Linked DNA regions of Rattus norvegicus. The protein of the gene in region 1 interacts with the protein of each later gene in a biochemical or structural test. Links are inferred from orthologs where the notes say so. Each region holds a gene or a part of one and is shown on either strand. Other genes may lie near its edges.

Region 1 (3,654 bases):
GGGTCTCAAAAGGACACAGCCTTTGGATGTGGAAATCTTAGGATCTTGGAGTCACAGGATTGGAATCTTATAATGACAGGATGAAGGGGGACTAGAGTCCCAATTCCGGAATCTTAAGTGTTTGGAGTTACAGAAAGGGGAAATGTCAGAATAGAGCGTCAGAACAGAATCCTGGGGTCAGATTGCATTCTTGTGACTCATGGCAGTCTCTATGGGTTAGAGCTGAAAGAATCTTGGGGCCATGATAGTCCACCCACAATGCACCATTTGCACCAGGACTGAGTTGAGCGGGAAGGACTGAGGCAGAGGAAAGAGCAGGGGCAAGAGTCCTGGACTGATCACGTCAGCCCAGTAAGGACTGAGGGAGCTGGAGACCCAGCAACGCTCTAAGTCAGCTCCAGGCTGAACTCTGTGTTGTGCCTTTCCTATGGGCTGGATTGTGTAACATACAGTGGAGACCGTGAGGAAATATGGGTACCACTCTGCACCCATACACAGGCTTACCCTCTGCCACAGCATGATGAGGATGATGAGAGAGATGACAGTAAGGACCACCAAGGCCAAGATGGCTGAGATCACCACCACTTTGAAAGGCAAGGCTGAGGACAAAGACCAGAGTAGGCCATAAGCAAACAGTATCTGGGTAGCTGCTTTCCCCATCTTGCTGGGAGCATCACAGATCCGTTGGACTTGCTCTGCTGAGCACGTGAGCTCTTACTGCCTAGATATCTGACCTCAGGGCCTACACTCTGGTCTTTCCTACAAGCCCAGGGCCCCTCAGTGACTCCCCTCAGATGACAGTCAGGCTCAGGCTGGCTTCTGCAACATCCAGCTAGGCTGGGGAACTCTCTTCTGGTTCCTGAGAATGACCTATGCCTCTCACAGCATTAGGCACTCTGGGGACCAGGCCACGACCCCCTCTTCTCTGAGTCCATGCCCTATTGGGCAGTCATTCCTGGGTCATAGATTTAAGAGCCATTCCTAACCAAATGGCTGAGGCACTCACCGAGTGACTCCCGAAGGAGCTGACTCTGAACTTCAGCAGCCTGAATAATCCACCACCAGAAGTCTGTTCCTCCCAGCCCCAGCCTGGGGACCACTAGTGTGTGTGGCACAGTCAGTATGCACCTCCCGGGGCCCTGAGGTGAACATGCAGGTCTCCCTGAGCCCTGAGTCCTCTCTAGCCCAAGACTTCAGCCTCACTGTTTACATCACCTCCCTAGTCAGCCTGGCTGAACCCCCATCCCCTGTCCTCTCCCACTTAGCAGGAGCTGTTGTGCTCTGGGAATTTGCTTCTTCCTGCCCTCCTCTGTTCCCCAGGGAGCCTTCCTCTGGCTTAGCCCCATCTTTTCCTTCTCAGGGTCACTGGCTGACATTTCTGTTCTCTCTTCCCTACATCCCTACATCCTGGTCTTACAAAGGAAGCCTGCACTCTCCAGAGACCCATCAGAGTCATCCTGGGTCTCCGTGTAATAGCTGGGTCTCCGTGTAATAGCACATGGCGTCCTGTGCAGGCGTCACACATGACTTTTCCTCTGCATTTACTCGGGCCCAGAGCTAGTCTACCTGTGTGCATAGATGAGAATATGGGGGAATAAGGGCACTTAATTTTTCTAACACCTAGACCGTAAGGACTATATGCTTGGCAGTGCAAGTGCAAAGAAATCTGCGATGCCTAAAGCAATGAACACATATCTTATATATTTTTGTGTGTATATATGTGAGCATTTGTATGACAGAATGCCACACATGTGGATGCTCACAGAGGTCAGAAGAAGGCTGTAGATCCACGGGATCTGGAGCTACAGGTGGTTGTGAGCTGCCTGATGTGGGTGCTGGGAACGGAACTCAGAGCCTCTGGAAGAGCAGCAAGTGCACTTAACCTCTGAGCCATCTCTGCAGTCCCAGTAAGGATGCTTTAAAAGCTCACCCTTCCTCTAAGGGCAGGTGACAGGCATGTACATAAGCAGACATGTACAAGCCTGCGGAAGCCTCTGTGTGTGTACACCTGCGTGGGTGTGTGCATGTCTCTGTTTTCAGGTATATGCGCAGTGTGCATGGGTCTGTGTTTGATTGTCTACGAAATACTCTTTGCAGCTGTATCCTGTATCCTGTATCTTGTAGCTGTATTCTGCATCCTGTAGCCCCATTCTTTACCACTTCCCTCCCTAATCCCTCCCCTACTCCAAATCCACATACAGTGTGCCCTGCATCCGGGCTCATTTGCTTCAACTCCTCAGAACCCACACAGAGCCTATGCTAGGCTTTTCCACAGCCCTCACGAGCTAGCTAATCCCCACTCATCTTTCAGCATTTGATATATTAGATCTGGCTGGTCTCATACGCACGGCTCACAAAAATATATTCTGCAGTTTCACATCCACGAACAGCACTGGGTATGCTTGAGTAGATGCTAACACGCATATACTCTGGAGACAAAGCCTCCTCGGCGCAGACGGCGTGCCCGTGAAGAGTGTACGCCTGACTCCCAGTATCAACCGGCTCATGCAAGTTTACAGCATGCATCTCGCGTGCCAGTTTCACTTTCTACACCTAAATGTCAATGTGTTTCGTGTTTGTGGTGTATAAAGTTGTGTTTGTGCACTTGTGTCAATGTCACATTTCGTGTGCGCACCTAGGAACCTACTCTGGTAGACTTTGTAACATTCTTCTGAGTATGCTGACTTGATCTGCTTTGGGAACTCGGACTCAGTGAGGTGGGATCAAGGAAGGGGTGAGAGCTCATCAGAGCCATCCGCAGCTAGGGCACTCACAGTGTGGTACCACGGTGACCTCTTGTGAATCTCTGCCCATCGAGTTCTGCAGCATACAGCGCACTGACAGTGGCTGGTCCACGTGACGCAGGCGCAGCGTGCTCACCACCTCATATTCCTGATCTTCCTCCCAGAAAGTCACGTTCGTTTCTAGCTGGCTCTCCTCCTTGGAACTATTCCCCAAGGGTGTGGGTGACAGTTTTCGCGGACACCTGCCAGGAGACACAAAAGGACTGGCTTGCAGACTCTCTTAGCTTCCTCTCTGCAAATGGTGGGGGAAAGTAAGACTGTGAATGGTGGTAGAAACGTTTGATTTCTTTGCTTGCTCTTTAAGCAGATTCCTACTGTGCTGCCTAGATGGGCCAGCAGGGGGCGCTCCCAGTCCAGAACTGAGACTCCTGAATGGCAAAATTCACTCATTTGACTCAAGGTTACTCAACGTGTTAAGGATAGAGAGGCAATCCCCGCATATCCACTGGGTGAACTAGACACCTCTGGGGGCCAGACCCTGCACCTTCCTAGGTTGAGGATGGCTCAGGATCAAGGTAAGAAAAGGAGAAATGTGGGTTAGGTATCTCCCGGAAGGCAGAGGAATGATCAAAGATGTGGCCTGGACCTCTCAGGTGAAGAGGCCGGTCTAGATTACCCTAAAGGAGCATTCTAGGCAGCTGCATATACTCTGGGAGGCCTGGCCTCAAGGTGTGCTCACCTTTTGAGGTCTCTGCAGGTAGACCAGGTGACATTTGGCTGAGGCATGCCCCGGCCCCGACAGCGGAGTATCTGCTCCCCATTGGCAGGATGACTCTCACTCAGCTCCAGTACACGGACAGGGACTGGACAGAGTACAGGGTCAGGAAGTGAGGTGATCAGAACAGAGCTC
Region 2 (3,340 bases), on another chromosome or scaffold:
CCTCCCCACTCCCACCCACAGAGAGTCTCATGGTGATATTTTAAACTTCTATTCTCACCCAACCAATGGGATGAAAATCTCACCAACAGAAGTTCTTTGGCGAAAACTGGGAGGGGAGAAAAAAAAAAAGAAAGGAAGGAAAAGGAACATGGAGCACAAATGTGTGTCAAGGGCGGGCCGCAGAGAAAGCCTCCTCTAATGGGATGGGACAGGAATGTTACTGAGGAGGCGAACCTCTGATACTAAGCTACTGTTTAAATATTCTGTATATTCCAATTCTGAGATTCAATATAAAAATAGAGATATCTACTGAGTTTTGCCCGTGGAAGCATAATTCAGAAAAGGCACATGTTCAAATAGAAACCCACGCAGAAGAGGCACCGGGTGCCCCTCCCTGCATGAGAAACACCCACAGCCATGCTTTTCCATCGGCTAGATTCCGAGATACAGTAGGTAAAAATAGACCTCTGATACTTAAAATATATCCAACCCAACATAATCCTGGCTTTAGCATGTGAATCATATAAAAGTCTTAAAAAAAAACAGAGAGAGGCAGGGGAGGGAGAGAGAGAAGGGGGAGGAATAGAAAGAGAGGAGAACAAACCTGCTTGGAAAACAAAAACATAGCTCACTTTTCCTGGTTTTCCACAATTCTCAAGGAAAGAAAAACAGAAAGCGAACCCATCCCATTGGTAATCAGGAATGCAGCTGATTTACACACCACCTGCCCACAGCCCCTGAGAGCCCCAACTGCCTATCTGCCATGTTTTACATGCACAGCCCCATGCCCTCCAAGTAGTTCTAACAGAACAGAACAAAGAATTGAGAAATGAGACACATAAAACATGTCCCCGTCAGGGCGTTCTCCTTCACTGTGGGTGTGACGGTCTGGTTAGCTTCAGAAGGGTTTGCTTTGGAACTAGGCGATGTAACCATTAGTCTTTCCAAACATGCTCACTGGCTCGAGGTTTTCATAGATTGTCATTGCGGTTGTGTTCTGATAGATGAGGTCAACTTTTGAGTCTTTCTGGGCTCTGATAATATCCAACACACACTGATTGAGGAAAACATACTGGTCCTGGTGACAAAAGAAAGTGAGAGAGAAGAATAAGCACCAGCCCCTGGAATGAGAACACGAGATGATGTTTAGACAAATAATCACCATGTCACCCCCCAAACCCCACCAGTCCAACAGCAAACGCATCCAAATTAAGACGCAGTGATCTAAGAACATCCTAGTGAAATCCAAAACCACATAACGCAGCCTTCATTACCAGTGATGCTTATCCGGAGGGGGCGCCCTCACTTTTCCTGATCGAGGAAACCTTGGAGAGAGTGAGATGGAGTTGCAGAGGAAATAGAGCATAGATACGGTGGGTCAGTGTGGAGTGCGAGGAAGCCAGAAAGATTCTCTAAAGATGAAAAGGGTTAAAAGATATCAGGTGAACCTGAGTGGGGACCACGCTTCAGGGAAGCTTGATAACTAATCCTTGTTGTCCCCTGGATGAAATTGAGAATCACCTAGGAGACACTCCTCTGGGTGAGTTAGGAGGTCATTTCAGGAGAAGGTCAGCTGATGAGGGACTGCCGTCCCTCCTGAACAAGGGGCTGAGGTTTGCGGCAAGTGAGAGGGAAGGGGGTTGAGCACCAACAGTCACCTTTCTATGGCCTTACTGCAGACAAAATGTGACCAGCGTCATCCTGCTGCCACAGTTAGAGACACTGGTACACTGTGTCGGACTGTACCCCAAACTATGAGGCAAAATAAACTTCCGCACAGCAATTGCTTTTTTCAAAAAAGTAACTAATACAAGAGCATCAGAATCTGCAGGTCGCTGTTTAAATAGAGGAAGCACGTGCTGATGCAGAAAGACACTAGGTGCCATAAAAGAAAACCTCATGAACAAGCATCCACTCTTTTCAAACTAGTCTATACACGTACGCATGCGCAAACTCAAAGGGTTCTATAGCGCCACCTGCTGGGCAAGTTCCATCTCTTGCTGCTCTGACCAAACACAAGAAGGAACTTAAGGGAAGAGGGGCTTCTTTTGGCTCACAGCAAAACAGACAGGGCCCACCACAGCTGAAAAGAGATGGTGGCAGGAGCCTCGGGCAGCTGGTCACACTGCATCTACAGTCAGGAAGCAGAGGGCAGACAGGAAATGGAACCCGGGTATGAAACCTTAAGGCCCACCCATAGGGATCCACTTCTTCCAGCAAGGCTCTGCTCCCTGAAGGTCTACGACCTTTCAAAGAAGCGCCACTGCCTGGTGACTAAACATATTAGCCTGGGGAGGTGGGGACTCCAAACCACTACACATACTAAAGGTAATTAAGGCCTTCCTCTAGGTCCTAGAGCCTAAGAAGTTGGGTTAGGGGAAAAAAAAAATTCTGTGAAGTCCTATAGTGGTAATTTTTAATATATTATTTTTGAAATATGAAAAAGTGATCGGGAGAGGTAGATCAGAAGTTAAAGCATTGGCCACAGAGGAGGACTAAACAGCAGATCCACAAACCGTGAAAACGCTGAGTGGGTGTGGCCTCTGAAGACAGAGTGACCTCAGATCAAGCCAGCTAGCTAGACTAGCCGTGCTTTCAAGTTCTGTGTTTGTGAGAACCAGCATCACTGAATAAAGTCGAAAAGTAATCCTCTCTCTCTGTCTCTCTGTCTCTCTGCCTCTCTGTCTCCCTGTCCCTCTGTCTCTCTCTGACTCTCTGTCTCTCTCTGTCTCTCTCTCTGTGCACGAGTGACACAAACACACAAACACACACACACACACACACGCATACATGCGTGCATGCACACAGAGATGAGAGAAGAAGCCACAGACAGATAATGAGACTTCTGTTCTTCTCGTTCTATAAAACTGTAGCAAAAAAATGAAAATCTAACATGGACGCAAATCTTCATTCTTTCTCCAACAATCATGGATCTCACCCAAAACACACAGTGTGCCCAGCCCTCTAACATACCCTGCTAGACGCAGACACAGCATAGTCCTAAGTTTCTAACTTGGTACCGAGTAACAGCCTGAGACGTGAATATTCTGCTCTCATCTTGGCCTGGAATATCCACCCCTGGAAGCCACTTCCTGACACACTCTGATAAGAATCAGCCTCAGATTCAAAGTTCACAAGGAACACATCAGGAAGGGCAAATCCAACAGCTTTCCACACACTGCAGTAGATCCTGAGCACACATTTTCTGCCCAGTCATCCTGGTGTAGCTCTGATAACCAGTTCTTTAGCTTCTGCAAGGCTGGGCGCGCATAAGTAGCATTTCCACCTCAGCGGCAATGTGCTATTTCCTACCATGAAAGCAAGTTTGATAAGTCTGTTC

The links.
Region 2: of the proteins of Pdgfrb (region 1) and Ptprj, one has a biochemical effect on the other in vitro, tested with the Homo sapiens proteins (2 studies listed by IntAct). The link is inferred for Rattus norvegicus from reciprocal best matches to the Homo sapiens genes PDGFRB and PTPRJ.

What each region holds. Positions count from the first base shown.
Region 1 is NC_086036.1:56,794,235-56,797,888, reverse strand, and holds part of Pdgfrb (platelet-derived growth factor receptor beta precursor), read right to left. Parts: intron 3,608-3,654; coding exon 3,484-3,607; intron 2,987-3,483; coding exon 2,775-2,986; intron 600-2,774; coding exon 505-599; intron 1-504. UniProt on the Homo sapiens protein: Tyrosine-protein kinase that acts as a cell-surface receptor for homodimeric PDGFB and PDGFD and for heterodimers formed by PDGFA and PDGFB, and plays an essential role in the regulation of embryonic development, cell proliferation, survival, differentiation, chemotaxis and migration.
Region 2 is NC_086021.1:96,864,455-96,867,794, forward strand, and holds part of Ptprj (receptor-type tyrosine-protein phosphatase eta isoform 2 precursor), read right to left. Parts: intron 1,079-3,340; coding exon 920-1,078; 3' UTR 1-919. UniProt on the Homo sapiens protein: Tyrosine phosphatase which dephosphorylates or contributes to the dephosphorylation of CTNND1, FLT3, PDGFRB, MET, KDR, LYN, SRC, MAPK1, MAPK3, EGFR, TJP1, OCLN, PIK3R1 and PIK3R2. Plays a role in cell adhesion, migration, proliferation and differentiation.